Linked DNA regions of Oreochromis niloticus. The protein of the gene in region 2 binds, or shares a complex with, the protein of the main gene of each other region. Links are inferred from orthologs where the notes say so. Each region holds a gene or a part of one and is shown on either strand. Other genes may lie near its edges.

Region 1 (17,100 bases), on a different chromosome or scaffold from region 2:
GCTCGCGGCTCTCCAACGGGAGATTGAGAGACCAGTGTTGGACTGTAGAACTGCTTGGAAATTCATATGAGTTGTTCGCACTAAAGTAAAAAGCACCATCACTCATGTGGATACCCCTTCGGCGCCAGCTGCGGTTGCAAGGCTGGGGCTGAACAACAACACCCTGATAACGACTGTGTTGAGACTGTTCTTCCCATTCCATGCAAGGCCACCTGGGTTGGCTGGAAGACTGTTTACTTAGCCTGGCAGGGCGAAGGACACTGTCTCAGCTGAACTCTGGACACACACACACGCACACAGACATATATACACATGCAGACATACACTCATCCCCCCTCCCCCTCCAAACGCCTTCGACGCTTATTCCCTTCCGATGCTGACGGTGGATCATGGAGACCAGCACATAGGCTGCAGGCCCGGATGTACTGTCTACATCGGCTGTCTCTCACCCTTTACCCACCCCTGTTGCTTGTCATGTGTTTCTTTGGTGTATTAAGAGTTTTTTCATGTGCTATGTGCAGAGGTGTTTTTTTTCTGTTCTCAAACTGATCTCCCTGTTGAAGCTCAGTCTGGGGGGAGTTACTTTTTTCTCCTTATCTTTCCTCATGTTGTGCTTTTCCATGTTATACCTCTCTGACCTGTCTTCCCCATGTGATGTTTTTGTGTAATGTATGTATGGTCGAAGGGTAAGATGGCCCCGCCGTTGCGTGCAATAGGTCGGCAGCCTTATGAAATTTCCCCTTGTGGGACTAATAAAGGTATATCAAATCAAATCAAATCAAATATCAGAGTCCAAGAACCGATAAGCGGGATCGATAGGCAGGTGGACTAACGACGTATTTATTCATGGTCATTCAGTGGAAGAAATAGAACAGTTTGTTGTACTGTCTGTATCAAACCGATATTATGAAAGCTATATAGCATGCCAAATAATTAGACAAAATAAATAATACCTACCAGAAGGAAATAACTGAACAGCATAATTTGCTAGCACAATATTGTCTCCGTCAATATCATCTAATTACATCAGTGGTATTTTAAATTTAGTGCCATCATAATTTTATATCAGGATCCAATTTAATTACCACATAATTTGACTTCCAACCACATATCTGCACCTTGCAATTTTCTCATTAGACGTCATTTGTGTTTAAATTAAGAATGCAAATGTTAACACAAAAATAGATCTTATACAGCCAAACATTTATACCTTTCCACTCTCAGTGTCAAAATAAAATATAACAAATGAGGCACCAATAATTTGAGTTGACCCTCACCTTGTAATCTAATTGTAACATTGCAGCTTTAGCTTGAATGATTAAATAGCGTTTACCCTCACTGACTTTATTTTTTGTCGCTGTTTTGTTTGAACAAGATGTTAATTTTCCTGTTCTGTGTAGACAAAGCAAACATAACACCAGACTGCTGGGAAAATGTACCCAGAAGAGAGAAGGGGGAGGAAAAAACAAAAAAACAAAACAAAACAAAAAAAAAAAAAAAAAAAAAAAAAAAAAAAACCACACACACCACACACCATAATCAGACAATAATTTCCCTCTGAATTATTGAGCACACCCCAAATCACAGTACTGGCAAACCTCAATACCAGAACAACCAGTATGACCAAAATAGTGCAGAAGCCCTCTGCTTTGACTGGTCAACCCTGTCCCCATCCTGTTCCCCTGGGCCAGGACGAATCAAAATACAGAGTACACAAAGTGTCACGAACTGGCTGTGTGGAGGCAGATGAGGACCCAAATGCAAAACTCACAGAGACAAAAGCTGAACTCAAAATCACTGCTTTATTGCAGGCTTCTGCTGAGGACCAAGGGAACACAGAAAGGCACACAGGTTCAGGAAAGAGACATTGACAATGCAACACAACACTGAGGGAGACATGGACATAAATACAGTGGGTTAACGAGGGAAGTAGAAGCACATGGGGAACACAGGTGACACTGATAATCATAACGAGACACGGCAGGAGCAAACACCACACTGACGTGAGACTATCAAAGTAAAACAGGAAGCACACAGGGAGGCTGATCAGGGGGAGAGAGAGAGAGAGCGCATGGGAGAGCACAGACATAACAGGCTGGGGAAAACATGGAATAAAACACAAGGAGGGGAAACAAGGACTCACAGATACACAGAGGGGCACACAGAGGGTAAAGTCACAAGGGGAAATCAAATAAGCAACATCTTAATAGAACAACGTAGGAACCCGAGCCGCCAGCGGGAACAGAGGCAGGGCCAGCAGGTGTGGGCACCCCTGGCTGAGGGGACGTAACTAGCTGCACAGGGCACGCAGCCAGCTTGGGATGCAACAGCTTGGGCTGTGCCGTGCAAACAGTCTGTCCAGGCTTTGTCAGCACAACGCTATCCTCAGCTGGCTGAGTTAGCTCACTAGAGCCTCCAGCAGAGGATGGCAGTAACTGAAAAGGTTGCTGAGCTACTAACTGAGCTGGTGACAGAGTTAATGACTGAGCTGATAACTGAACAGGCAACGAAGCAAGAAACTGAGGTGGTAACAGAATGGATGACTGAGCAGGTAATAGAGCTGACAACTGAGCTAGAGACTGAGCTGGTGACAAAACAGGAAACTGAGCTATGGACAAAAGTACAAGTTGTAGTGGTGGTTGTGATGATGGTTGTAGAGATGGTGGATGAGCAGGTAGCTGAACTTGTGACTGAGCAGGTGGTCTGATTCTTGGCTGTTCTCCTCCGGGGAACAAGAACGGGTACTGGGCCTGGCCGAACACCAGCAATCCCCACCCGAGGAACAGATACGGGTGCAGGGACGAGCTGGGCTCTGGCTGCCCTTACCCTGGGAGCCGGTGTAGGTGCAGGAGCTGGCTGAACCAGTGCTGCTCCCACCCGATTAACTGAAACAGGTGCAGGAGTCGGCAGGGTCACAGTTGCCCTCACCCGGGGAACCAGAACAGGCGCAGGCAACGGCTGGGTGTCCGTCAACCCCGCCCGAGGAGCAGGTACGGGTGCAGAGATGAACAGAGCGTCCGCCAGCCTGGGGACAGAAACAGGGACAAACTGGACCTCAGCCGCAATTCTTGGCTCAGAAGGAGCCGTTATAGAAATAGGAGCATTCTCATAGACTGCTTCTAAATACGCTGGCTGGTGAGCAGCACAGTCCAGGAGTGAAGAAACACCAACCACGGTCTCATGCTTAGCAGGCACAGGAGTAGGGATGTTAACACTAGTAGTGTGAATTAACTGGGTGTGCAACTAACTCTGGAATATTCCATCTGAGCTCCCCTAGCAGTTTACTCATGACGGACGGTAACTTGTTGCCCTTAACCTTAACAACCGTGACTGAATACACAGTTTTAGTGTTTTTAAACCCCGAGTTAACAGACTTCGCATCTGCTCTTGTTAACTTGGGAGGAGGAACATTCTTTATCCCTAGAGACGCAGTTTCAGAGCTAACAGACGAGGCAGTAAAATCTAAACGTGACAGAGGTTCAAATCAAACCTGAAGAACAGAAAGCGCAGCCTTTGAAGGTTGGAAGACTGTTCATTTTCCAGGGGGTCCCTTCCGGTTTCAGCAGGAACCTCAGGACTGTTTGTTTTAATATTTAGTTCATAGGCATGCGACTCAAAAATAGTCTTTCGCTTTTCTAAGATGAAATTATCCGTCTGTGTATTAATTACTGCTGACATGGGAGGAGCAAAGGAAAAACAGTCATTCTCAAACATGGGCGTGAGAGTAGGTAATGCAGGCTCTGAATTAACTGACCCAGAATTACCAGACACTGAGTTAATGCTCTCTGGGATGACGCACACAGAGTTTACAGTTTCAGAATTGTTTAATTCAACTGGAACAGCAGTCTCTAGGGGGACGATGAACTCAGTCTCATGCTTAGTAGGTGCAGAGGTGAACTTAGAAACATTGTGTGGCTTGCAAACAGTCAACTTTAAACTTACTATTCCTCTTCGATGAGTTACAGACACGAAAAACGGTGGACTCAGGAACAGAATATTGTCCAATTCGGTCCGGCTCGGAAGGAGCATGAAAGAAACAGATTCACTCACCACCAGAGTTTGCTCAGTAACTTTAGGGTGACAATGGCGTGAGCATCGTTTTTTTCCTGGGAACTGTGCCGTGAGTTGCTGGGGCCGTAGACGTAGGCACCTCTGAGACGTCGGCTGACTGAGCCGAAGACGGGCCGGGCTGCGTCGAACAGTCAGGGAGCTTGTGCAGCTCCGAGCGTGGAAGTCCCAGGAAAAGCACAAAGGACTGCAGCGGAGATGGGCTGCTCGTTGGAGGCACAAAATCTCTCCTCGGCCGCCGAGTACCCCCCTTCTTTGCGCGGGACGTGGGTGGCAATTGTGGAGGTGAGCTGGAGGTTGAGGAGGCTGGAGGAATTGTGGCAGGCCACAGACTAAATCCTCCAACTCTTATCACCGGGGAACGAGGTGAAGAAAAGGCAGCAGCATTTGCAGTTTGAAGGCTGAGCGACCCACCTAGAGCCAACCGAGTCATAAAAGGTGGACTCGCGCTCCCAGGCATGCCGAGACTCCTGCCTGCTCCTCTCGTTAGGAAAGGTGGAGTCTGCACGCTGCCGATTCCATAGGGAGTTTGCTGGGTCCATGACTGGTCACGTCGTACTGTCACGAACTGGCTGTGTGGAGGCAGATGAGGACCCAAATGCAAAACTCACGGAGACAAAAGCTGAACTCAAAATCACTGCTTTATTGTAGGCTTCACAAAGAAACAGAACTAAACTAGGAATGCTAAACTGAGGACCAAGGGAACACAGAAAGGCACACAGGTTCAGGGAAGAGACATTGACAACGCAACACAGAACTGAGGGAGACATGGACATAAATACACAGAGGGTTAACCAGGGAAGTAGAAGCACATGGGGAACACAGGTGACACTGATAATCATAATGAGACACGGCAGGAGCAAACAGCACACTGAACCACACTGACGGGAGACTATCAAAGTAAAACAGGAAGCGCACAGGGAGGCAGACCAGGGGGAGAGAGAGAGCACGGGGAGAGCACAGTCATAACGGGCTGGGGAAAACATGGAATAAAACACAAGGAGGGGAAACAAGGACTCACAGATACACAGAGGGGCACACAGAGGGTAAAGTCACGAGGGGAAATCACACGAAAACTAAGAATGCTGGGTCAACATGACCCAGGGTCATGACACAAAGACTGCAGAAAGATATAGTTATTATGGATATTATATGGAGCCAGAAGTACACAATGAAAAAGATGTCTTCTTTTATTGCCAAACCTGTCCCAAACATAGAAAGCAGCCAAGCACAGCCACTAGATATATTTCTCATTCCGATTCCTCTTTCATTTCTCAGTCCCAAGAAGGTGATGGGATGACCAACAGCCAGGTAGCGCTCCACACAGGTCAAGACGTGAAGTCTCGCCAAACCAGTTGGACAAATGCATAAGGGCCCCCACTAAAAGTATATTTAAATCTTGGTTGTAGTTAGCGAAACAAATGAGGATACATCCAAAACTATAAATTAGTTCCATAGTGACTATGTGGTATGTGAAACTGTCTGAATGACTTGCTGTTGATGCTGAGGAGACAGAGTGCCCTCTCCACCTTTGTTGCAGACCATAGTAGAGGATAAGTGTGCAGAGGAGGAGGAGGATATTGGTGATGCTGAAGGAGATGAAACGGAAGGAACTTGGTCTGTAGACAAGACACTGTATTTTCAAAGGAAGAGAATAGCTGATCAAGGAAAGAGAGTCATTGGAGGTGGATGAGATTACTGACATCTGGAAGAAAATATAAAATAACAATCACATATAAAACATAAAATCATATCAAATGTCAAACTGAGAAAATGTACCACTGTAAAAACAAAATAAGCTGATTTTGAATTTGATGGCAGGAACACATGGCCTTGTCCTAATTTTCCAATATAGATTTTTGACCTTGATCCATTAATTCAAAATTTCACAGTTTCTTTAATGATATTATGTACATCATACAAGATATTCAAAGTCTTTGCAATTTCATATTGAGAAACAGTATTCTTAGATTGTTCAACAAATTGTATATGCAGTTCTTTCCAGATTGGTGAAAATATGCCCGTCTAAGATGGTCTTGTTATATTATTTTTATTACCATTTAACGTTTAATATTTTTCATGAAATTACAAATTGTCTCACTTTAAACTTTTCTTATGGTTTCTGGCTCTTTTGTGGATAAAATATGTTTGTTTTTTGTTTTTTTGTACTCAGTCTTTTTGAAATTGCGGTTTCATGACATCACTCAATTTTCATCTGTCCTACTTTGTTAACCAATCCCCTGCACTTGCAGCAAAATGTATCTCTTTTCCACCGCTTCATTTCAAGATATGAAAATTATATTCAAAGATAGAATAAAACTACATTGAAACCATACAGAACATTGTGATTTAATTATGTCTTGAATGAAAAACTAAAGATGTAAAAACAGAGAAATATTCTATAATTGTTTAGTTGTGACAATATTGTTTATTTTATTTTTTTATGTTTAAAGAACTTTTCCCTTGTAAGTAGTGTGAAGTGATGGAGGATTGAGGAGGATGCTCTGTGGTGACTAAAGTGAGCAGCTAAAAGAAGAAAAAGAAGAAGAAGACTCTCTTTGTCAGTAGTCTGATCTTCCTCCTATTGTGAGACACTCTTGTAAATGTCTGATTCGAATGTCCACCTCTTTTAGAAAATGAGTGTTTTTGTAATAGGTGAAGGGAGGAGTACAGGAGTACACATGCTATAATTCAAGTTCGTTCTTTGAATCTTTTTACACGGTTAAAATACGTTGGCCTTTATATTTTCTTTGTTTTCCCCTTTTCCCACAAGGCCAGAGAACAATTAGCATGACGTTTATTCAGTGTTGTCAGTTACACGAGCCAAGGTGTGTCCATGACGGCACTCTGGATTGAGAGATTAGAAAAGCTGCAATGTTATGAAAATACACGTATAGTAGAAATTTAACTCAACCACAAAGATTTGCTTCTAGATGGCTGAAATGTGCTCTTAGAAGGACTTTGTAAATGATCACCACCAGCTAATCATGCAGCTAGAATGAAGCCATGCAAATGATACTCATTTTTTCAGAACATTTTCATAATTCAAATAACTTTGAAACAAACAACGATCCATGTGTATACAAATCAAGTAATGCACTTTAGGTCATCACAGCTGCCCTCGTGTTTTATTCAAATATGAGCTTTCTTGTTTTGATTCTCGCAGGGGTGTTTAATCATGAAAATAACACAAAGTGAATATGTGTATATCAAGAAGAATCGAATCACTGCTTTCGACCAAATGACCTATTATTATTTCTCACAGGTGTATTTTTAGTTAATAATATATTTAAAATTGATATGCAAAAAACTGTGACTCTGCCATAAGAGTCACATTGAAGTAATGCACCACGCCCCACCAGTCCACCCTTTACTTGCAGGGTTTTTTTTGTTTTTTAAATGTGCAACAATATTCATTTTATATCCGTGGAAATGAAGCAGTACATATCAGATGAAAAATCATAGGAAATGTAATATTGTTGGGTGAGCCATCCATCCATCCATCCATCCATCCATCCATCTTCATCCGCTTTATCCGAGGCCGGGTCACGGGGGCAGCAGCCTAAGCAGAGAAGCCCAGACCTCCCTCTCCCCAGCCACCTCCTCCAGCTTATCCGGGGGAACACCAAGGCGTTCCCAGGCCAGCCGAGAGATATAATCTCTCCAGCGTGTCCTGGGTCTGCCCCGGGGCCTCCTCCCGGTGGGACATGCCCGGAACACCTCACCCAGGAGGCGCCCAGGAGGCATCCTTGTCAGATGCCCAAACCACCTCAACTGGCTCCTTTCGATGTGGAGGAGCAGCGACTCTACTCTGAGCCCCTCCCGGATGGCCGAACTTCTCACCCTATCTCTAAGCGTTGGAGGATTTTTCATTTTCAATATCTGCAGAGTTGGTGCTGAACACTGGTTGGATGGTCCCCCTGTGTTTTGCCTACGGCGCCAATCAGTTCAAGTATGTTCAGTTAATAATCCAAGAGACAGTCAGTGTCAGTTTGACACTTTGGTGTCTAAATCTTTGAGAGACCTTCTTTAACAAGAAAATCCTAAAATGGCTATGAAAAAGACAAATATCAACAGCTGTTTTTCTTGTCAACAGAAAAACAACAACAAGAACACAACAGTGACTTTAATTGCAGTTCTGTATAACTAACACCAGATGGCAGTAAATAGCCATATGTCACTCTGTATCAAACACAAACTGATAACTAGCTAAACAGATGGCCACATAATGTCAGTGTATTTTTACATTGTCTGACAGAAACATTGTTGTTTCTCTCCCTGTACTATTTTTCATTCCTACAAATTCTTTCTCCTCTTGTATTTAAGAAATGACAAAACGAACCTACTTTTGGCCACTTCCTTATTCACAAGAGGTCCCCACAGCAGGTAAGTCCACTTATTTTTGTCACAAATACATATACAGTTGTGAACAAGTCTTTGCCGCTTACCCTTTTTTTTTGGATATTTTTCACACTTAAAGCTAAGTATATTAGAAAAAAACTGTTTTTATATCATTTAAATCATTATTTCATTTTAATCACGATTTTTAAAAAAATGATATCCAAACCTATGTGAAAATGTAAGCCTGGAAAAGGTTACAAAGCAGTTTTTACAGTTTTAGGACTCCACACCAAACTAAATGAGAGTCATTATCCACAAAAGAAGAAAACTTTGAAGAGTGGCGAACTTTCCCAGAAGCAGCTAGCGTACAAAAATTACTCCAAGACTGCACTGATGACTCACCCAGGAGGTCACAAAAAAACACAACAAAAAAGAAAGTCTACAAACGGAGGAAGAATTTAAGAACAGTGTTCCTTAACATAAAATTATACAGACTTAAATATTTAAAATAAAGTGATATAATAATGGATATAATCACTCATGTAAAATTGTTCTGAGGTCAGAGAAATTGAAATTTGAAATTACTTTTGGAAAACTTGGATGACCTCTGAACTAAAGATAAGAGGGACCATCCAGCTGGTTACAAGTGCTTAGTTCAAAAGCCTGAAACTGTTCAGGGGTGTGTTAATGCCTTTTGTTGTACCTTATACTTCTAATAATGCATGATTTTCTTTGACAAAAGTACAGCAAGTTCTAATTCTCCCACCTAGTCACACAAAACAGAAGTACAACTCATACAACCTGAGTTTTTCCTAGGTGTTTGAGGGAACAATTGCCAGTTTTAAAGAAAAATGATACTATAAGATATTAATACTATATTTAGTAAAGGAGTAATAACTTAAGAATCAACTTTCAGCTGCTCTAGTACACTATTGAGCTGTTGTAGTTTACACATTTGCTTGGCAATGAAAGGTCCCTGGTTCAGTTATAGTTGGAGATACAAATCCCATTTGGGGTTTTGTCCTAAAAAGGCATTTGAGGCAAAAGTCTGCCACATCAAACATGTAGTAATTCCCACCATGAGGTCATCATGGTGGGAATTACTACATGTTTAAAAGACCTGCAGTCAGCTGAGACTGAAGAACTCACTTGGATGAGTGACGAAATGTTTCTCCCACTGAAAACGCTACGTCCAGATGAACAGAATCAACTTTTGGAAAATTATCTGTGCCATTTTTTTTTTAAATATAAAGCTTCTGTTTGTTTGTTTTTTATGTCAAGCAAATTACTATTAACAGAAATAATACATGTACTTCAACTGCAATATAAGAAAGGAATAAATAAATGAGCATCATATAAAGATAATATTGACAATAAATCAATTTATGTGTAGGTTTTGATTTGAAAACAGTTCAATTATAAAAAAAAATAACTTAAGAATTAAAAAAATAAAATATAAGGTATAATACAAGAAATAGTCAAGCCATGTAAACTGAAGTTATTACAAGAGAAGAAACTGAAGAAAGTGGACTTCATCTACTATTTAGTTTGAGACTTTCAGCACTGGAGGGTGCTGTAGCCTCCCTTTTACCAATATAATATATTTTAAAGAAGTCTTTAATTTCAAGTGTACTTGGAACTCTGGAAACTGATCAACTTAGGGTTAAGCCTAAACCTTAAACAACTTTCAGTGCTCTTTCACACAAGATACCTGGAGATACCAAGGTACATGGATTAAGATATAATCATCAATAGACCCCAAGGTTGTTCATAATGGCTGTTGAGCTGTTACTGAATGTATGCATCTTTTTTTAAGTAGAAATTAAAAAAAACAAACCAAATAGATGCTGTTGAAGGAAAGAAGTTTTTTTTTTCTTGTTTTGTTGAACATATGTTTTCTTTTGTTGATATCAAAAGTCTAGTCTGTCATAGTAGACCCATACTCATGCTTATTATATTTAGAAATCTAATTTATCCATCAGTTTATTCAACTTATGTCCATGCCATGTTCACTTTATTTTAAAGTAGACATCTTTCTTTTCCCTCGCACATTTTCCAAAAAAAAGCTGCATCCATATCCACAGGGGGAGTTTCCTGTTACACGGAACAGGAGGAGAATGGGAGGAGTGAGGAGGAGGAGGAGGGAAAAGTGGGTGGAGAGGAGAGCAGGAATGTCCGAGCTGAGGCATTGTGTTCAGTTATCACACAACCACAAAATGCGAGAGAGTGAGAGAAAGGAGGGAGGAGGGAGGGAAGAGTGACTGCTGGGAAGTTGAAGCTTTCTCAAAAGGAGGTGTGACTCAGGCGTCGACGGGTGAACAGAGGCTCTTCCATGTGTGGATAGAAACTGCTCAACTGATTCATTACAGCAGGATTTTACTTAAAAACAGACTGGGAACCTTAACTTATTAAAAGTCTGATTGACAAGTGGAAGCCTGACCTACACATGTACAGATCAACTGACTGGACCTCAGACTGGTGCGAAGCTTGGATGCCTTGTTTACCAATTTAAAGGCAAATCAGCTGATCTCGAATCTGGTTGGAATTGATCATTTTTAACAAAACAGAAGACTTACTGAAACGTTTAATTAACCCATGTGACATTTGATTGGTTAAATGTACCTGACTGTTGGAAATTCATGGTGATCAACTGAATGGTTGCCTGCTTTGACACATTATTGGCATCCTGATCAACTGAGGTCCATCTGATTGGTTGATTGATAATTAAAGAAGCGCTGCTGGAGCCATTTTTGTTGGCATCGGGATGAGCGGAGCAGGGGAGGTGGTGTGTGAAGGGTGGCTGCGAAAGTCTCCCCCAGAGAAAAAGCTGAGGCGCTATGTGAGTATTTTATTTGAATTTGAAACATTTTGAAAAAATGAAACATACAAAAAACTGTGCATATGTTCTGTATCTTTGTGATGTCCAGTGTGGGTATATGAAGTATCCTAAAGCTGTACAAAGATTTTTAATCAGGAGTACAACTACAGAAGTATTACTAACTGTTCATGGAGGTTTGTCTCTGTAGCATTTAATTAAGTTTGAAGATTCGTCTCAGTTTCATCAGTGTTTACACAGTGAGTCATTTCCTACAGTTACACACTCTTGATTATAAAACAATAAAAACTATCCATCCTAACACACCTGTCAACTAGACAGGAAGCAACACTGTAATGTTACTTGACTTTGTACTACCACATTATAAAATAAAGAGAATATTTGTGGAAGGACAAAGTCAAGTCTATGGTTTACCCCATCCTTCACATTAAGACAGCTGAGATAGGCTCCATCACCACCATGACCGTGAACTGGATTTGCAGTGGATTCGTAAACAAATGGATAGATTTTTATTTCTAAAAAATGAGAATTCACACATTATTTATTTGGCCCTATTCAGAATACAGCTAATACACAAGCTAAATCTAGAGAAAAAGAAAAACAGCTCGATTGTATGCTATATCTTTAGCACAGCTACAATATTTCTACTACAGTTAGCATATTAGCGTGCAAGCTAGCTGTTTGTTTACTTCAGTCAGGAAGCAGACTTTTAATTACAGCTAGCACAGCAGTCAATATCCTTAAAGTGACATCTGTAGCTGTCTTGTATTTGTATCGTATTGTAGGTGAATTTATTTGTGAGTCCTTTCTCTATGAATTTATGTAAAATGCATACATCTTAGCCAAAAATGTTAAGCCTTAATCCCATTATCTTTGAAAAAACAAAAACAAAGATGTGACACAGATAAATACGCTGATCTTTAGCTGATATATTAGTCCTACAAACTAACTGTTATACAACTTGTCATTAGAAACATAACTGACTTAAAGATGAGCTACAACATTGCTACAATGTAACTTGTGATCTGATAAACATGTAAAATGAACAAAGTGGACAGTTCTAGCTGCTGTCAAAAGGAACAACTGTTTCCAGTTACATGTAAGCCACAAAAATGTTATTTAGCATTTTTCAAATCCCAAACCTGACAACCTGGCTCTGTGCCTGTAATGAATACCAGAGACTTGGACCAGTTTTGTTTTTTCCTGAATTCTCCTTCACTATGTAGAATAAGTGGAAGGATGGATTAATGAATTCATGCAAGTTGGTGTGTCCAGTGGCACCACTGGCTGCTTTATTCCAGTAAAGAAGCAGCTTAGGCAGTTAGGATCACATGCATGCACCGCATATTTGGCATACCTTACCAGTGAGTTGAGCTAATCTCATCTCTCCTTCCATATTTTCCCTTGATGTTTTATTCTTTCCATTTCTAAACAAATGTTTGGTGTACCTCTCTCTGTGTTTCTCTTTCATTCTTGTGCTCTCTCTTCCTCTCCTATGATCACATGCTTTCCTTTCCTCCTGCCCCCACTCTCTCTCTGTCTGTCTTTGTGTGTGTGTGTGTGTGTGTGTGTGTGTGTGTGTGTGTGTGTGTGTGTGCAGGGAAAGTGAAGGATAAAAAATAGTCTAGAAGAAAAAGTGATAGGAAGTGAAGCTGCCTTCAATACCAGAATCTGCTCAGGGAAAGCTGAACAATTTCCAGATTTGAACCAGCAAGCTTTTACGTGAGAAGACGGCTCTTTGATGAAATAGCTGAAACAAAGCATCACTAAAAGGCCGGCGAAAAGCACAGAGAAACTGTGCCAGCATTAATTAGGCAGACTTCAATTTAATTCTTCTTAGCTGACATCAGTAGACCCATCGCAGGGAACGTTTTTAGGAGGGAACAATCAGATTTCAAAGAAAGTGGAGTGCTGGAGTTGCACTTTCTTACTGCTTGGTTAAAAATTAAGGAGACCGTGCACATCCACTGGAATCAAAGAAGAAGAGCTGGAGGAAAAGGGAGAAGAAGACAAGAGACGAAAACGCAGAGAGGCGAGACGGCAAGAAAAAGAAAATTGCTCCAAACAGAGAGACCATTGTTGAGTCTGTGTATATATTCAGTCATGATGGTATATACAATGAAATGTGTGCATACACTGCTTGGCCAGCTGTGTCTCCAATATCAACACACTCACACTTAAACACACAAACATGCACAGTCCCCTACAATGGCAGAAGCAGACAGTTTGTGTGTGCTTGTTCATGTATAGTGGGTAAAGTTCATGGAGTGTACTTCGTCACACACTCCCTGTACTGTTGAAAGCTGTGTGTGCGTTATGTAATAAACTAATCACACTCAGCTATGCCTGGTTAGAAGATGAGGGCCTCCCTGAAGATTTAGAAGATTTGAAAACACACACACACACACACACACATTCTCTGGAAGCAAACCAGGGATAATGATGAGGTAAATTTTGAAACCTTGAGTACAATAACACATGTTTTACACACACACACACACCCAGAAGGTCAAACACAGTTGAAGAAAGAGTTGGCTCTGCAAAGGCCCTCTCTTGGATATATATCACAGTTTGGATACCTCCAAAAGTCCTGCTCTCCATCAATGTAATGGTGCAGTGGTGCTCTACAGACAAGTTCAAAACCTAGCCTTGGAAAGGTTTGAATAAAGAGCTCTGATTTTATGCATCCCAGCACCACAGATGCTCAAACACCACTCAGCAGCACCCACAGAGTTGAACGTTACTTAGCCACGGCCTGTAAAGTATGTAGCATTTATGGCACTCGATAGGATAATGGGATACAATGATCTGTCTAAATTGCTGGTGTGAATGGCTCTTATATTTGACATTTATTCCATTCCATTATGCGGTTGCATCCGATTAATGCGTAGCAGGATGCTACAAGATAAGTTTCAGTCAGCCACGGTACACCTGAAATGTTACATTTCACCTCGAGAGAGTTATTCATGATTTCAGTTTTTCAAGTTGAAAAATTCCTAACCTATGATTTAAATGAAATACAGCAAAGCTAATCCTGTTTCACTCTAATTTGGGTCCTATACCTTACATTTGTCTGTGTATGAAACTTTAGGCTGAACATGGGCAAAGCAGGAACTGTTTTATTTGGAAGCAGATCTGAATCACTGTGTTTACAGCTGTGAGATGGGGCGTTGACCTTGGCTGAGGACATGCTCTCTGGGGCAATTCTAATTTCTTTCTTTTCTGCTTGTTGGTTCTGCTCTAATATTGAGATCTGGGAATGACATGGCTGACAAGCACCACTAAAAAACGAAGCCAGTGAGCGAAGAAAAGACCACACTGAAAAACAGTTTAGGCATATTTATCTGGATTAGAAAGCAAACATAAACAGGAAAATTACCACCAAATTATCAGGGTTAAACTTTTATCTCTTGTAATATTTTCCTTTGCAATCTAAGCTTTAACTTCTTCTTGACGCTCCAAAGAGCATCTGAGGAAATTCTGAACAACTAATAGAATAAAGTTGCTATTGGTCAAAGTCATTGATCCATCCTGGTACCTGCTGTTTCACTTCCATAACACAAAATAATCTTATTTCATCATATCTTGAAATGAACTGTTTACCCCAAACATCACATTCAAACACTTTCAGAAACAATTTGTCTAAATCTGCCAATCAAAAGAAACTTGAAGCTAACTAACATTGCATCTTAGAAAGGGACAGGGCATGAAAGTGTTTACATCCTGTTACACGAATCGTAAGCCAGGACCTCTAATAGTGGGTTGTAGATGTACACTTCCTTCTGCACAGTCAGTCATACAGTTAAAAGGTGCAGTTCAGTAGAAAGAAAACAGTTCCTACATGAAACTGTTCACTACAAGTTTTGTAAAATATATTTTTGGGGAACTGGGTCTGATTTGTGGTAAGAAGTGCTGCTGCTGATGTTCTACATGTAATTTAGTTCTATTATATTTAAAAGAAAGCAGACATCTCCAAAACTGGGCAAATGGCACCAAGCTAGATAGATTTTAAAAAGGATGCTAATTTCATTCCATTTAAAGCCTCTAAAATCTATGAAGCAAACTGAGGAGTCCAGCTTCTTAGCCATATTCACTTACAGCTATGTTCAAAATATTATTCATCTAATTTTTGTTTATGTTGCAATAAAGCATTTAGAATAATTTAGGTTTTTTTCAGTTTCTCATAAATGAAACTGTCTGCAAGTGACAGCAAACAAACTGAAGGTGTTTTAAAGTCACATGTCTGCAGTTATGAGAGCTCAGCACTAAATGGAATGAGAAGATTAGGGATTACAGATGAGAAGAGGAGGAACTGAACAGCAGGAATATTGTTATTCAGGTCTGGTGTTAATTTTGGCTTGGAGACAGGATGGAGGAAGTGTTATTTTAGATCCATTGTGCCCTTTTCCTGCTGAGGTCAAAGGTCAAAGAAAGAAACCAAATGAAAGGAGAGGAGGAAAGAAACTGTTAAAGGAAAAGAGGTTATCTTCATTACTTTAGGTGGATTTAAGGCCACTGCATGGGAGCACAGTGCACAGTGGACATAGGCAGCAAACAACAGATCAAAGGTAATGCTATAAATGTTTCAGAATAAATGCTGTCCAGAGGTTACACTTGGGATCTTAAATATAACAAAAGTATAAACTGGCACAAAGAACATCAGTAATTGTTTGCTGTCTAAACTGTTCTGACCACTGTCTTGGTGATGATAGTGTAGTAGAAGTACAGTTCCAAATAAATAAAATATGTGATGAAATATATAAACGGTTACCACTGTGCTTAAAATTTGATCTTTTTCATCAGATCAGCAACTAAAAGGACGATGAATGGACAGTCCAAATTGTGAAATCAGCAAATGTGGAAAGTAATCTATGTGAGTCAAGAACAAATGTTGGTCTTAGACATGTTATTTTTCCTACTGTTGGCCTTAGTATAGTAGCCTTAGCATAGTAGCATGCATCCCCAATATGATCATCTTAGCCACACAGCTGGGACTATGAGCAAAAAGCCCCACCCACCGCCATTCAAACTTTTTGTTTCGGCTTGGCAGCCAATCTGAAGAAAGTTGACTTAAAGATAAAAGGATAAATAAGAATTGTTTTGAGCTTGGAACCATGCAAACCTACTCTTGTAGAGTACAAGAATAAAAAAATTAATAATAATAATTTAGAAATGAGCATGATAAATGTCTTTTACTAAGAAGAAACAAATCTCATATTTGTAAAACCTTACAAAGACATGGAGACAATCTTATCTCTTGTACTGTGGAACAGCAGAAAACAAAATGAATGATGCCCTAGACTTGTCACTGCATGGCAGGCATGATGTGGGGTAAATCAAAGTCCAGCTGACCCAATGGATGCAAGAAAAAAAGGGTGTTTGTAGGCATACACAAGTACAAGGATATACTGGAGCACTAGAGCAACATGTAAGTAGAAATGCATGTTGATAAACAACCTGCTGACTTCTCCAACCTTCAAAAAAGGACCATTACTACAGGACATCGAATTGTCAGTGAGTCAAGGCAGTAATACCAAAGGAAAAATTTTATTCGTCTCTGTGATGTCAGGAGACTGAAAAAAACCAAAGCAAAATAAAACAAAAAACAGTATTTCACAAACTGGAATAAGAATATTATTTCTGATACTTAGGTATCTTATTATTGAGAGTTATATCTTTAAAATAAAACAAAACAACCAAACACACTTTTGTGGTCACTGAAAAAAAACATGAATATGAAGATATTGATGAAGTGAGTTTTTTCTTCTAATTAACATATTGTTTTAAATAAAAATGCTAAAGAAACACAATAACTCAGTAGGCAAAACAAGTAAAGAATTTGTATAACAAAACCA
Region 2 (16,685 bases):
TTCTAAGACAGCATTCTGCTTCTGAACTTGAAATTTTCATTAATCCATGTCATGATTTTGAAGAGGCAACTAAGTAATACTCTGTAATGCCACAACAGCAGTCTGGCCTGTTAACCAGCCAAAAGTTAAGAATTATTAAGGGCCAGGGCTAGCTGGTTAGCAAGGCTTTAAAAAAAATAAATGGTCAGCTAATAAATCTGTTACCCTTGGAAAGATGAAAAAGGTTAAACTAAATCTCTAAATGTACTTGGGTGGCTGCTGGTATACCTGCATGCTACATGGTGCACAGAATTCAGACACACTAAGAGGCAGAGTTTAGGTGTGGAAAACAGATGGAGTGTGTACAAAATCTGGATCTTACCTGGCAGCGGATCATGACATGAGTGACTTTAGGTTTACTGTCACTGCTGTCTGTTTTGTCATCTCCAGTACGGACCGATAGAACAAAATCTCCCGGATGGCTCTGGCTCTCCCTCACCAGGAAACTGCCATTCTTGCCTTTCTCAGTGAGCAACTTCTCAGCCTCCCTGCCCGACAGGTGTCCGTGGAACCATCTGCAATGCGAAAATATGAAGCTAGTAGAATATATCACGTAACAGAAATGTGCTTCCATATTACGTAAACTGCAAGATATGCCCTAGTTCACTTGAAGTAAGCACAACTTATCACAAATAAAAGACATAACATTAAAATCTGAAGCTTATAGTTCTTACTTACTGTGTAAGTGTGAATTGAATTGGCAACTATAGTGTTATCAAATAGTTTAAAAAACAACACCTGTGTCCAAAATGGTCCTATGTAAATTTAATATACAAAGTGTTCAGAAATTATCGACAAATAATTTGGAGTTTTTTTGTTTTGTTTTTTAGAACTTTTCTGCCACAAAAAAAATATTACATGAACATTAACACTTACCTCTCTGAGGTGGGATCTGCACAGTTGAGTGGATACTTGAGCTCAATAACGTCACCATTTTTCTCTTTCAGCTGTCCATGATGTTCCATGTAATACTGCACCAGCTCTGCAAGTGTGGCAAACTTCTCCCCGCCATAAAGGTCGTAGTAATCTCCTGTGTTCTGGATCTTAATATGGGTGACTGCTCCATTTCGCCTGCAGAACAGCACAAACATTTATGTTACTATCACATGTAAGATCGTCAACATCATCAGGTTACAAATGTAGGAACATCTGGCCTATGATCCATTTTTTCCTCATATTTTGAGCTCAGATACGAGCTAAACAGCCAAAATATTATGAAGTCATAAAATTTGCAGAATTTTTCAGCGTATTTTTCTCTAATTATTTTAGTTCTACCACTGTGTAGTGTCCATTTTTGTACACATAAAACTGGTCTGTTTTTCACTCTTCACTGCCCTCTTCTGTCTTCAATTATATGACTGAATATTTTATTTTAAAAAATAGTTTTAATAATCAGTTTTGGGGTAAAGGTTAGGGAGGGTTAAAAAATAAAATAAAAATTATCACCATCAGCTCCAGTTATGCAAAAAGAAAAATAATACTAATAATAGAGCAACTTGGACATTTGGCATGCAGACTGGAACAACCAGGGATCTAACCACCAACCTTCCAATTCTCCTAAGCTGCATCCACAGGAGCCCTTGTTAAATTGAGAACTGAAACAGAGACTCTCTCCACTTAAAAACAGGCTTAAAAATGTCCATCCATCCATCCATCCATCCATCCATTCGCTTCCGCTTATCCTTTCCAGGGTCGCGGGGGACGCTGGAGCCTATCCCAGCTGTCATAGGACGAGAGGCGGGGTACACCCTGGACAGGTCGCCAGTCTGTCGCAGGGCTTAAAAATGTCCTTTTTGATAAAGCTTATAGTTACAGCTTGATCAAGTGACCCAGAGTTATGCCGCAACAAGCTGCTGGGGGACTTCCATGACGCACTCAGCACCTTACTCATCACTGACCACGACTGCATTCAAATCATTACTAATTATTAAACTCTTAATCTTTCTCCCATAGTGTGTCTTTTGTCTTGTCTCCCTCCGCACTCTTCTCTTCCCCCCTCACTCACACCTGATCGTGGCAGGTGGATGTTTTCACCATACAATATAAAATGCCTTGAGGTAAGTGTTCTTGTGAATTGGCACTAGATAAATGAAATTGAATTCATTTAATTTAATTTTACTTGAATTAAATTTTTAAAAAATAACTTATAAACAGAAGACGATTACATTGCAAAACAGGATATAAACTGTCTTAGCTCTTGAATCACAGAAGTTACATTAAGCTGTAACTTGATAACAAACAGGATGAACCTACAAATGACAGTGTCGTGAGTGTCAGCTTTAAGAGGAGATGGCATCATGAAAGTACAGAAAGCTATAGGCAATCACTCTGACCATGATTAATCCCCAAGATTAAGATGTTCACAATATTTCTCACTTGTGAAAATTAGTTCTCTTGATCTGACAAAACAAGATTTTATGACATTTTCCAGATGAAGTAATTCATTGGATCTCAATCAATCAGGACATTAGGTGATAATGAAAATATTTGGTACTCTGTGCCTCCAGCTTTCGTCTTTCAAACAGAACACAAAATTTTATACTGTCACCAACTTTAGGAAACTGTTACAGGCACAACATTACATTAAATGAACTGAAACAACCCTTAGGTTTGTTTCTGTTCCAGCCCTTCTGATGCAGAGTGAGAAATGATACAAAATTAGCAAAGTGATAATCAGTTTAACACTGTGTAACATGCACCACTAACACCACTGGGTATCATTTCTATTTGCATATGTTTTTTGGTGATACAAACCAGACTAACTGTTGAGTCATTATAGGTGACTGCCATCAACACAGAAAATAGAAAAAAGGAGAACTTGTGGCAGATATGCAGCTCAATTGCTGTCAGCGACTTACAGTTAAAAAAAAAAAAAAAAAAAAAAAAAAAAAAAGACACGCTGGTTTAAACTAACGTCCTTGTGGAAATGTCAGTTTCCACACAAGAAGCATGATTTGTTTTGTTTCCATAGGAAGTAAATATGGTGCAAGATGAGAGACCGTACAGATGAAATATGTGGCTGTTCCAAAAATAACACTGGCTACATCAGCCAAACTGACTTAATGATACTTTATCTTGAAATAGAATTTATGACTTGACAGGCCTCAAGATAAAACTACAAAGTTGTTTGTTTTTTCTGCATCAGCAAACACTGGTCTTGCCTTCTTCAGATAATACTGCATTTCTCACTATCGTCCAAAATTGTAAAGGAAAGACAACAATTTAATAGTCCAATTATGCTGCAAGGGACAGAACATAAAGAACTAATACAGACATATTGTGTCATGTTATTACTTAAACAATTCCCTCTTCACACACCGAGCAGACCAAGCAAAGCTATTACTCTTTTCCAGTCATGTTTGTGTCCACCTGATAAATATAAGTCTAATATTTACTCTCAGGCTTGCTCTGCACCAACTCCTAAGTGAACCATCTGGCCATTAAGCTGCTAGATGTAGATGTGCTAGTTTCCAACTTTGCCTGCTTGTTAGTTTAGTGCTGGGTAGCTAATGTGCTGCAGGGGTTTATCTGTGCTTGTTCGCTCAAAACACCTGCCTGCTGTTCCTGGAAACGAATCTGATGAGAGCAGAGAGTGGAAAACAAAGACAATGATACTAAACAGACTAAAACATCCTGCAGAACTGAGGGATTATTCTCTGTAGATTTATCAAAACCTAATTCAAGTTCCACAGTCTTTTGACTCACTGTTACTGCCAAAATACTGATTAGTCCAACTTAATGAGGTGTGGTTCTACTTGAAAGCAAAGTAGGTAGGATCATTTTAATATTCACTTACACTGCTGTGGTGAAACTACACTGTCCTGAAGATGGACTACAAAAAGTGTGTCTTAAATGTTGCTTTATGCAGATCATAAAATAGGAGAATCCAGTAAAAAATATCACTCTTGCAAAATTTGGAGTTTACATATATTATCTCATTTTTTAAAGTGAAATTAAATGATTTGTTGCTCATTCAATCCATTTATATTTTCTCTTCCAGCTGAAGGGATAATGCTGTATAACTCCTGTCTGTTTAAAGGCCTTCAGCATCTGTGACCAAGCCCAAAAAAAAATAAAAAAAATAAAAAAATGGAAAAACCTAAGGCTGGCAATACTGAAAAGTCCAACCATTCAAAATTTACTTTGATCACCTTAACAGAAACTCAGTCTTTGTCAAGTTGATTTGTAAAAAATTTTTATAAAGTGCAAAAGCAGATTTTATTAAAACAGCGGAACAATCACAGTTCATCCATTGCTTCCTGTATTGTAATGGTTTTTAAAACTCTTATGCACACCACAGGGATAGCCAAAATATCAAAGCAAACCTCTGTAAAGTTGACTCTGACAGTCAACTTTGTATGTTCCTTGTTTCCTTACTTGTTTCATGAGCAAGAATGTACTGTTTTATTTTTATTTTAATCTAACTTGTAAAAGGGTAATGCAAAACAATTCTTCTGCTGTAAAGTCAAAGAAAGGCATCCAGATCATTGAAAGAAAAGAAAAAAAAACATTGGATCAGGAGACAGATTATTCAATGTCCAAATGTTTGCTCCAGTAACACTGTTTAGTTTTCACAATCCCCACAGTACACTAGGGATGCACCTCTGGAGTATGGTGCTTTGTACAAACGTGTGTAATTTCACTTACCGTACTGAGAGCGTGAAGTCTCCTGGATTGCTTTTACTGGGTCTGGCTAAAAAGCTCCCGTCCACTCCACGAGTCAGCAGAAGGTTTTCAGCCTCCACACCTGTGATGTTGGGGTGAAACCACCTGAAAGAGGACAAGTAAAATAACAATTTAGACTTACTGTTAAGTACATGCATTTAATTTTTACTCATTATAAAGTGCATTGTGTGAACTTTTTGCCAAAAATCCATACATTGCACAACAACAACATGACATAATAAACTCAGAGTTGATGGTCAGTTATAGTACTAAGAGGTGCCCAAAATTATGAATTAACTGCTTAAAACTTGATTATTTGCAATTTTCAATCCACTATTCAGAGAAAGTATTATCAAAGTTCTTCTAAAAGTTTGTAGTTACATCTCCAGTCACTTATCTGGGCATTTTGAAGTAATACTCAAGTTTAATTTGAATGGTCACCTGGACATGAAAGCTGAATCTGATTAAAACAGCTTAAATGTGTCAATGACTTACACAATAATGAGGATTTCAAAAGGCCACTGGGGAAGTTATTCCTATCACCATCCTTGCTGTTAAAAATGTCTTGCCTAGATTTTAATAAACGATTCCTTTGAGAGTCTTGTCTCTCTCTTACAATGTTTCTGGTATTATTGCACAGGGTGCTTGCTGACATCGAGACTGATTTGGAGCCAAAGGTATAAAAGAGCCACACTGTCTTTGTCTTTCTTCACTTCCTCTCTATCCAACTCTGTATATTCCAGTAAAGACATTCGGAGGCTGACTGCGCTCTTTCTACAAGTTGCCACCCGGCACTCCCCCGAAAAGACTGCCTGCCTGTTTCACTCATGCGTCCATTGTGGTCATCTCCTGCCTCTGCCTCCCTGTGAATATGATCTTCATCTTTTCCCTCTCGTCTGTACAAGAAGTCTGTGGTCTGTGCACCATCTATGTGAAATATCTTTATTCCACTCGCTAACGATGACTTTTTAACGCGTTACATTTATAATCTAAGGAATTTAATTTACTTAAAATGTTGAAACTGCTATGACTTCTGCCTACTCTGCACATATCTATAACGTGAAAGCACTTCATTTCCGTTTTTCTGATGCACTCCTGCTGTTTTCCCGTTTTCTCGTTAAAATGACTCGTTAATTTTTGTATCAATATGGGGTGTCTTATGTTCAGTTATTTGTAAATACAGCTGGTTTGACTTGGACAGCAGCTCAAAGCATAACAAATCAATCCAGTAAGATGCATCTGTTAACAGCAGCTGTAGCAGGGTTAGTTAACTTTAACTGTACCTATTAGTAACTACAGTTTGTGGACAGCTTAGCTTTGTATGTTCTGTACCAATGTTACAGCGCTGTTTACTTAACAATTTAAGACTGCTTTAAGTTGCCGGTGTAACGCTAAATGAAGCAGCCCTACACCACCTATTTCTGTTTATTTCCAGAAACGTCGGAACTCTCATTGACCGTCTACCGACATACCAAGATCCAAACAGCTGAGTTCACTTAAAGTTAGCAGACTCAGCTAGCATTATCAGCAGACATTGTTTTCCAGACAGCCCCCGCTTACCTCCGAGATGTCATTTTTTTCGTTCCTCACTTCCTCGCTGGCAGTTAGCAGTAGCTTTAATTAGCTGGCTAACGTTTCCCACCGTTAAAGCTTCAGTTACAGTATAAAGTGCTTCATTGGTTCACATCCGGTCAAAACGGGCACCTAAATCTAGTTAAGCATCGACACAAATTTTTTTGATAGCGCCCGTTACAAAAAAATGTCTCTAGGCCTCGGCCCCGGAGACTTCACAGCAAGTCGATTATTGGACGTCACCAAACCTGCGACAAAACAGAGGGTGTAATGGATTTTTTCACCCTCGGCGGCCGTTTCTCGTGGTCGCTTTAACCCGCTTAAATAAAAGCTACAGATCTCGGTCCGTCCGGTAAACGGCGTCAGATAAATTAAAGAGCCAGATCACTTTCACTCAGCGCATGCTCGTTAAAAGGTTTTTTTACGATACAGCGGCGAAAGCGGCAAACGACGAAGAACGTCTGCGAAGGCTTCTCGAACAGTTCGTTGACTGTCTGTGCTCACGGCAAAGCGAAACTTAATCGCAGCTCTAAGCCCTAACGGGAGATAAATTACATTTCATATGTTATTTGTGACGTAATTAGATGCGCAACCATTTTTAAAATGATATTATGAAACTTTCGTAATGTTTTGTTGTGGCGACTCGGGTTATTAGAAACGCGTAAAAATAAATACAGATAAAATTAGTATACATTAACAAATTTTTTCTGTTTGAACATTTTACATGCAATCTTTGAGCTATCCAATATTTGTCATTTGCTTTGTAAGCAAAAACATATAAAATATTTCACATAAAACAGAGACTACCTTAGGAGAAAGTCAAGTGGTGATGTAAGTAACTTTATCACTGAAGCATTGTACTCTTTTCCCCAAAATAGTACATCCATAAGACTGGTGAACATGCATCTTCCTTTTAAATCATTTTATTTATATTTGATCCAACAAATATAAATATTTGGAGAAACCTATTAAAACCTTGGCCAACATTCAAGTCATGATGGATGAGATTTCAACCTGGCAAACAGGGTGCTGGTGTAAACTGCTAATATTGGCCAAAGACAAAGGAAAAGAAGAGGAGGAGGGTGTGTTAGGAGGCAATGAGAGAGTAGGAAAGACAGAAGTCTGGGGGTTAAAGTTGGCAGTATAAATATACTGTGGTAGATATATTGTTTATGCAGGAGACCAGATGGAAGGGAAGCAAGGCCAGGAGTATTGGAGGGGGATTCAAGCTGCTCTACCATGGTGTAGATAGAAACAGGAGTGGAGTAGGGGTAAGGAAGAGTATGTGAACAGTGTTGTGGAGGTGAAAAGTGTCAGGCAGGAACATGAGTCCGAAGCTGGAAATCGAATGGTCGATGTTGAATGTTGTCAGTGCGCATGCCACACAGGCTGGATGTCAATTAGAAGAGAAAGACAAATTCTGGAGTAAGTTGAGTAAGTCAGATGAAGCAATAATGTCCCCAGGGGGGACATTATTGTGATTGGTGCAAAATTCTATGGACATGTAGACAAAGGGAACAGAGGTATTAAGTAGGTAAGGTGTTAGAGAAATGCAGAGGGACAGATAATAGTACATTCTGCAAAAAGGATGGAAATGTCTGTACTAAACATGTACTTTAAGAAGAGGGAAGAACACAGGGTGACATATAAGAGATGAGGAAGGTGCACACAGAGGGACCACATCTTATGCAAAATGTGCAATCTGAAAGATATAGGAAACTGGAAGGTGGTGTCAGAGGAGAATGTCATTAAGCAGCATCAGATGGTTGTCTGTAGGATGCCTTTGTACATTAAGAAGAGGAAGCAAGTGAAGGCAGAGGCAAGGAGTAAGTGAAAGAAGTTGAAGAAAGAAGAATGTTGCACAGAGTTCAGGAAGAAGTTGAGGCATACTCTGGGTGGAAAGAAAGAGTTACCCGATGACTGGGAAAGTACAGCTTTAGTGCTGACACTGGTGTTTGGTGGATCCTCTGGACACAACCGGGTAAAGCAGACCTGGTGGTGAAATGATGAAGTACATGAAACTATAGGAAATGAAATGAAACAGGTTAGTAAAGAAGGAGTGACATATTTAGGAGATGAAGAAAATAGATAGGAGTACGGGACGGCTAGGAATACAACAACGAGAGAGGTGGCAAATGAGAAGGATTGTAGTGTGTTGTAAGTAAGAAACTAAGGAAGGAGAAAAGGACTTTTGCTGATTGGCTAGACAGAGAAATTGAAATGGAAAGTATATGCTGCAGGTTAGAGTGGTTAAGCATAGAGATGAAAATGTACTAACAATAGAAGAGAGTGTGTTAAGATGACGGAAGGAGCACTTTGAGCTGCTGATAATTCCAGAAAATGAAGGAGACAGGAAAACAGATGGAGAAAAGTTAGTGAATCACAATGAGTGGAGGATTAATAAGGAGGAAGTGAGGGCAGCTATGAAGAGGATGAAGAGTGCAAACCGAGTTTATCCAGATGACATACCTGTGAAGGCATGGAGATGTCTAGGAGAGCCGTGTTCCAGGTTGTGTTAAACAGTCTTTTGGTTCAAACTGTTTAATACAATGTTGTAAAGTGACAGGAAACCTGAGGAATGGAGAAGAATCAAAATACTTTATTAAGCTGAGGGGAAATTATTTGGTCACTGTTGCTCCAAGACAGTAAGAACAGTAACTTACTAAACTGAATTAAATAATACAAAATATTACAAAGTTACAAATCTAACAAAAAAGTATTCAAGTCTGTCATTCATGCCACACTACAAAAAAGTCTTACAGTGATGCACTGTGTCTTCAAGTAGTATTATCTTCAAGTAGAGTTTTGAACTGCTATGCAACATTAATAAATTATTATTATCATTATTATTGTCGTTACTGCAAAATGCTATCAACTGATATGAAATGTTTTCATAATCGTGTACTATTACTTAGATGACTTAGTGCTGTTGTTTTGGATATTTTCTTATTATATTCTTATTATATATTTGTATAAATATATGTATTTAACTCATTAAATTAGTGCATTTTCACTTATGTTCGTTTGATTTGATTTTTTTTATAAATCAGAAAAAAGTATTTACATTCAGAGTAAAAACACAAATTATAGTAAACTAAAGAACACGACTCTTTAATTATTCGTGTTGCACATAAAGACCCTTTACGGGGTTGACTTTGGCAAGCAGATATAACTTACATGGACTTAAGGGACTTCTTCCAATAACAAATGAGAAAACGAAGAGTTGTCTTTCACTTCCTTTTCAGTGTGTGTCATGTATTCTCGGAGGTTTGGCCCTCGCAGGTACCCGTGCAGTAAGCCCGTACGTGGCAGTCTGAGAGCAGCACAGAGTAGCCGAGCTTGTTGCGGCTCGTCTCCTGCAACAGTCCACTCACACAAACTGGATATACATTAGCATAGAAAATTTTTATACCGTCAGCTTTACGTTTACGCTCTCCATACAACCACGGAAACATGTTTACCTTGTCGGAGCTAGTTGTCTTGCTGGCCGTCCTGTCTGCCACTGCTTCTGGCTACTTCGTTAGCATAGACGCCCATGCCGAGGAGTGCTTCTACGAGCGGGTCAACTCCGGTACCAAGATGGGCCTCATGTTTGAAGTGGCCGAAGGAGGCTTCCTGGACATCGACGTCGAGGTGAGATGTTTCATTCGGATAGCAAAAGAGTCACCTAACGCGAGGCAGAATGTACTTGTAAATCATAAAATGCAATGCAACACAAGGCCTGTGCTAATGTTAGCTATTAGCCGGTACCGTCAGGTAAAACTAGTTGGATGCAAAGCAGGTGTAAAGGATTTAACATACAGTTGAATGGAAAACGTTTACATCTTACAGAGTTGCTTTTTTTAGTTTCCCGCTAAGAGCTGCTCCATAATGATGATTAAATTACCCATTATGATATAGGAAGTGCAGCATTAGCATTGTTTCTAAGTTGCTAATTATGTAGCTAATTATTGATTATTGAATAGTCAATGCGCTGTAGACGTTGTAGAATTCGTTTATTTTCGCTAGTTTTAAGCAGAAAATCTAGCTATTTCTGCAGACAGTCTGACTTAGTTTCTGCCATATGTTTCCTAAAGCACATCATGCCCGTCATGTTATTCTCCACTCAAGCAGCAATGTCAGTTATTTAGATATTCTTCTATCTCCAGATAACAGGACCTGACGGTAAGCAAATTTACAAAGGGGACAGAGAGTCCAGTGGGAAATACTCTGTGGCAGCGCACATGGATGGAACCTACAAGTTCTGCTTCAGCAACAAGATGTCAACCATGACACCCAAGATTGTCATGTTCACCATTGATATCGGAGAGGCTCCCAAAGGCCAAGATATGGAGACGGAAGGTACACAGTGGGGATTTATGTAGTTTAACCGCAACTCTTTTTATTCCTGTTGCTTGTAAAATTATTATTCCTTTTATTCATTTCTCATTTTTTGACTTTATTATGTGGATTCACTGTTTCCCTCTTCGTAGGTGGTGACAGCTGGGATGGTAGGGCACAGCAGGCTTTGACTAAACTACTGTTGTGAAATAAATTTTTGAGCTTGTGATGCACTGCAGTCTTCTCTAACCAGAGTTGCGTCTGTAGTAAAAACTAATTAAGCATACATATGTCAGACGCGGTGATGTTTGCGAATGATTTGACTTGTTGCACATGTTGAGAACATGTATGAAGTATAAATGCAGATACATGCATCACAGGTGTGAAAAGGATATGCACATCTTGCATGTTTTTTTTTGTTGTTTGTTTGGGGGGGGTTCTTTTTCAAATGGGGGTAGCAGGGTTCTTTACCACTGTGTTGTGACTCATCACTGACAAGTCACTTTTCTCTTGTTTCAGCCCACCAAAACAAGCTGGAGGAGATGATCAACGAGCTGGCAGTTGCCATGACAGCCGTGAAGCACGAGCAGGAGTACATGGAGGTCCGTGAGAGGATACACAGAGCAAGTAAGAGCCTTTACATTAAGTCCAATAACCATTGTAATCATAAGTGTAGATAAATCTTTATAATTGTTCTCCTCTTCTTCTCCATCCAGTTAATGACAACACAAACAGCAGAGTGGTCCTGTGGTCATTCTTTGAAGCTCTGGTTCTGGTGGCAATGACACTCGGACAGATTTACTACCTGAAGCGATTTTTCGAAGTGCGGCGAGTGGTGTAGTGCTATTCAAATGATACTCCTCTGTGTCCTCCACTGTACTTTTTTGTTTTGTTTTGTTTTTCCCCTCCAACACCAAGACAGTTATTTACACTGTGGAAATGAGAGTGGCAGTTTTGAGTAAAGCCTACATGTGATTGGATCTCAGAGGTTTTGTTCTCTTGTTACCTGTTTGGTTTCTTCTTTATAAATGTAATTTATGTTTGGAACGAATGGCCAAAAGATTGTGGGATAAATTTCAGTTTATTAGTTTTTCTTTTTAACAGATCTGTTTAATTACAGTTAGTACAGTTGTTTCCTGTGCAAATGACTGTAAGGCTCAGTGTCTGCAGTCAAATGAAAGACTTAAAATTGCACATGAATGGACAGGTATGTGTGGAGTCAGAGTGGAATGTTGCCTATATTAAGTTTGAAATGGGAACCTTTTTGAAATGATAAAAATGGCACATCTGAAAACATCAGTGCAGTAGTTTAGTGTCTGAGATAGGAAAAGTTTGATTTCAGGTGTCAAAGCCAAGTCAGACTGGCAGATACTGCCAATGTGTTAATTCTCAAAAAACACAAATTGCACTCCCGATGAACTTGTCTAGCTATCTGAAAAAATTTACATTACAGCTGGTCTTTAAGGGAAACTATACAGCTTCTAACACTGTCTATTGATTCATAGCGATTTGTGGCACAGGTGGGTGGTCATCTTTTCCAGGGGAAATTGTGTGGCTCACTCCCCACATAGTTCAGAAATAGAATTCAACGGCGAAGTCTTTTGTTTGCCATAAACTAACATTTATGATTGTCAAACTCTTGGATTTTAAAAACTTTGGCCTGGCTGTAAGATCATAAAAAGCAGAGGCGGGGTTGAATTTTAACTAAACTATTTGGGGTGCCTCTCAAAGTATAGAAGAATACTGAAATCCATGTTACATGTTGATTTGGGTGGGCTGGGTAGGTAGGGGGTTTAAACATTTGAATTCTTTAGTTGCTTCTATAGTTATTTTTTGTTAGGGTTGGGGATTTTAAATTATACGATTGTATAAAATTCGAACTGTTAATTTTTTCCCCCCTCTTGAGCATTACTTGTGACAGCTGTTTGGATGAGGTCTTTCTTCCAAGTATATACGTCCAAGGCAGTAGATGTTTCCATTTAGCCACACCATAAATGGTGCATGCACCAGATATGCTCCAGATTTGTATTTCAAATAATTCATGGTGAGCGCAGGCAGGAAAGTTGCTCTGTACACAGTCTCTCCTTTTTGTGAGTGCAACAAAATCAGCTAAATAGATCTTTACAAATGTAGGACTGTGGTCTGTAAAAAAAAAAAAAAAAAAAAAAAAAAAAATGCCCCAGGTTTCATAATAAAGCCAATATTCTGTACAATTATTTTGATGTCTTTATAAATGGGTGTGACGTTTCATTATGATTAGAGAGAAGACACTTGTCAACAGGTGTAATTTCACCATTAAATTAAAATATTCCTTGGAACACAGCTGCTCCTATAGTTTTTCAAGATTTTAAGAGGTTTATTATCCCAGAACATAAGGACCAGTGAGGCAACACTGTATCAACTTAATTAAAATGAGTAATACAAATTAGGCAATCCAATCTAAATTTAGAGGAAAAAACACATATAAATAATTCACATTAATATCCAATGGGTTTTACATGAGAATTATACTTAGGCGTAAGCTCTACGTCATAACTTGCACCATAACCAGAGCCTCATTTTAACAGTATGTTGTAGCCTTCTACATAACCTGATATGCACTTCCTCAGAAATGTAACCACACGTCGGGTGGACACATACCACAAGGACTTGGAATGGCATGGAAGGTTGCAGTGTAGGCATTAAAGGAATTTCCTGTTAGGATGTAAATTTCCTGCAAAAGTCAAAAAATCAAGCTTTAGAGTGCAAGGAGAGGGCTGGTATGAATATAAATATAAACTTTAGGAATTACAGCATATAACAAATTGTCATGTGTAATGTATTATTGTATGAGTCCCTGGTGTGTGGATATATGATTGGTGCTATGATGCTGCACATCCTCCTTCCTGCTTCATTAATGAGCAGGGTGAGAAGATTCCTGCATCTGCTAACATTGATGTCTTTAGTGAATAGAAGGCTACTGCCGATGACCTTCTGTGTGGTACTTGGTCAGTGCATTGCCTTTCTGTCTGCACCTGAGCCATGATGAAAAAGCTACAATACAGAGGTCAGTCTGCTCAAGTCTCCTAGGTAAGTAAAGATAGTTTTCCAGATGACGACGTTTTTTATTTGAATCCCCATTTACTTGAAACCGGCGATAACCTCAACAGCAGCTCCTCCAAAGTAGAGGGGCAGGAACTCAGTCCTGTTTATTTTGTCCATGACAATCCACTCAAAGCACTTCATAACTATAGGAGTTATTAGATGATGGTCATTCAGGCACGAATGCTGCTGAGGTTTTTGGAACAGGAGTGATGGTAGCAGATTTAAATCATGTTATCTTAGCTTGAAAGAATAAGATGTCAGTCAGTGGCTCTGAGAGCACCTCTGCGACCAGAAAACGGGAGAATCTCTGGCAGAAGAAACTAAAGCAATTGTGTCCAAAGAGGAAGCCAAAAAAGCTGTGTTTAGAGAAAAAAAAGTACTTTAACAAAAGTACCAATAATATAATATGAAATGTGAAAACACCTAACTGCTGCCGAGCTCCTGCTGCAGATGTTTAAGATTAAACTCAATTTAAATACTTTATACTTTGTTCAATCTCCACTAATGGATCATATTCAGATGTCTGTGGTAGCTGTCCTGTGAGGAACACTACAGCTTTCCCATCAGAAACACTACATATTGATTTTTTAAAAATATATTAAAAAGCAGATAAATTAAAAAGATTGAGGATTGTGTGACATAGTTAACTGTATGCATCTACAGGAGTATAAAAATGAATGAAAAATGTATGTAATGTAAAAATGTACATTTGGTAAACCAGGTGATTTTTCAGAGATGTTAAAAGTGCTGGTGGAGTATGCATCTTGCCTATGTTATTAAACCAGACATGGCAGGAATTACACCCTCTGTTTTTCAAGCTTTCATTACTAATGTACTAAATGAGTTATTAAAAGTAATTTACATCACACATGTTGGCTGAGTTGGTTTCCAAGAGAAGCTCACCTGTTGCAGTGTTGCAAAACGTTTGTATAGCATAACAGAATCCTGCTTGAGATAAAAGGAGAGAGATCGCTTTCACTTTGGTACGTTTTTATTGATATCTGTTTTTAGATTTTGTTAGCTCTCGCTTGCCCTGGCGAAAAACCAGTGTTGCAGGGTGCCCAGAGTCTGTGGCAAAAACATCCTAAATCATAATAACAATTACATCGTTCAGGAGAACGACCAGCAACTGCAGGAAGGTTTTATTTATCTTGTGTGAGCCGTCATTTGTGAGCGGCTCACAAATGACGGCTCACTTGACCGCGGTGTCACACGGAACCACGCAGTTTGGCGCGCTTCTGTTCCCACCCGGCGTGTAAACAGCAGCGGACCCGGAAACAGGAGCATCGTGGAGTGCGACTGTGGCAGACCCACTGTGAACCGCTTTAGTTTCAAGCTTTGCTGAATGTTTGGTTTCCAGCATGGATAATACAACAGACGGGACGTGGGACAGATTACCCGTTAAACTCAACGAGAAGATTTTGCAAACGCTCGATGAACTGAAATTCACACACATGACACCTGTACAGGTCAGTGAACACTTTCAGCCCGTGGCTCACACCTCTCCTCAGTAAACACTGAATCTGATCTGTTGGAATTTTCCCTTCTAGTCTGCCTGTATCCCGCTGTTCATGAGTAACAAGGATGTGGCTGCCGAGGCGGTAAGTGCGCCATTTAACCATTAAAAATAAAGATCGCTGAATTTTATTATTGCAGATGTTTCAGAGTTATGGTAAACATCCTCCCACACACCCACCCACACATCCAGCCAGCCAGCCATTCAGCCATTCAGTGTCACGGGTGTCTGGATCCTCTCCCAGCTGTCCCAGGGCTGCAGACAGGGTACACACTGGACAGGTCGCCAGTGTGTTCCAGGGCTGACAAACGTGGTGACCATCCATGTGCACAGTATACATTATACCGATTAACCACCACTGCAAGTACTGACATTTGAATTTAACTGGACTGGAAAAATTGTCTTGACAGGGTCATTCCATATAAAATCCACCTAATCTGGAAAAGTGGACCCCCAGACATATCCCCTGATTGTTGTATTTTCAATGCATGTTATAATAAATCATGCTAAAAGTGAAAAACCTAATTTATCATTAATAATTTTAAATATGGGTTTTTGATTCTGCTTGAAAGTAAACGAAGAAATAAGCTTCCCGAATCTCAGAGCTGATGTAACCACCTCAACCGGACTGACCCCCCCCCCGTCTGCCGCAAGGTTTTCTGCTCAGCACACGTGTAGAGAGTGGTTGTCCTGTGACTTATCGCAGCAGCTCCTTGTAGCTCACTGAGTTTCATTTGATTGCAGGTGACTGGGAGTGGAAAGACGCTGGCTTTTGTCATTCCTATTATAGAACTCCTCCTGAAGCGGGAAGAGAAGCTAAAGAAGATGCAGGTAAGAATGAAAGTGAAGCAAAGATGGCATTTAACCCCAGTTTAAAAAAAAAAATAGGGTGACTAGCAGTGTATGATGTAATTAAAATTAGCTTTTGTTCTTTTTTTGTGATATTGTTATAGAGTTTAATACCTCCTTGATCCTGAACAGCTGAACTCTGAGTTATGATAGTTCTTGATATTTTACAGATAATCTGTGAAATATACAAAACCTCAACAATATGATTTGGACACTTTGTTAAGCCCCAAATAATGTCTTTTGCAGGTTGGTGCCCTTGTGATCACTCCCACAAGAGAACTGGCCGTACAGATCAGTGAAGTGATGGAGCAGTTTATTGAGAAGTTTCCACAGTTCAAGTAAGTAGAAGATACAGTGTGAAAGGGGCATTGTATGTAATACAAATCCCTTAGTTAATAAGATGAAAAATTCTTAAAACCGATTTGAATGAAGTGTAATGGTAAAAAAGTGTGAAACTGAACATGTCTGTTTGCACTCCATATGTCAGAAAGAGCAAATGGTGGATGGAAATTAGTGATGTGGTTGCATGGTGAAAAAGTCTGTCTTTAAGAGTGTGGTTAGAAAAGTCAGAAGTTAGTGAGGGTGGCCTCTGCCTTTACAGCTATCCTTGGATAAAACTGGAAACTATTCTAATGGTCGT

Evidence for each region.
Region 1: the proteins of ptpn11a (region 2) and gab1 are in contact, whole or in part, in a crystal structure (PDB 4QSY), measured with the Homo sapiens proteins. The link is inferred for Oreochromis niloticus from reciprocal best matches to the Homo sapiens genes PTPN11 and GAB1. Residues at the interface, in NP_002825.3 of Homo sapiens: Gly13, Val14, Glu17, Arg32, Pro33, Ser34, Lys35, Ser36, Thr42, Arg47, Thr52, His53, Ile54, Lys55, Leu65, Gly67, Gly68, Tyr81, Gln87, Leu88, Lys89, Glu90, Lys91, Ile96; in NP_002030.2 of Homo sapiens: Lys623, Val625, Glu626, Tyr627, Leu628, Asp629, Leu630, Asp631, Leu632, Asp633.

Annotation. Positions count from the first base shown.
Region 1 is NC_031967.2:38,048,361-38,065,460, forward strand, and holds the start of gab1 (GRB2-associated-binding protein 1), read left to right. Parts: upstream 1-10,621; 5' UTR 10,622-11,173; coding exon 11,174-11,248; intron 11,249-17,100. UniProt on the Homo sapiens protein: Adapter protein that plays a role in intracellular signaling cascades triggered by activated receptor-type kinases. Plays a role in FGFR1 signaling. Probably involved in signaling by the epidermal growth factor receptor (EGFR) and the insulin receptor (INSR).
Region 2 is NC_031972.2:11,309,534-11,326,218, forward strand, and holds the start of ptpn11a (tyrosine-protein phosphatase non-receptor type 11), read right to left. Parts: upstream 6,776-16,685; 5' UTR 6,279-6,775; coding exon 6,265-6,278; intron 4,810-6,264; coding exon 4,687-4,809; intron 1,111-4,686; coding exon 916-1,110; intron 555-915; coding exon 362-554; intron 1-361. Other genes in the region: tmed2 (transmembrane emp24 domain-containing protein 2), read left to right, coding at 9,730-9,909, 10,425-10,617, 11,116-11,223, 11,313-11,437; ATP-dependent RNA helicase DDX55, read left to right, coding at 15,042-15,149, 15,231-15,281, 15,941-16,027, 16,292-16,383. UniProt on the Homo sapiens protein: Acts downstream of various receptor and cytoplasmic protein tyrosine kinases to participate in the signal transduction from the cell surface to the nucleus. Positively regulates MAPK signal transduction pathway. Dephosphorylates GAB1, ARHGAP35 and EGFR.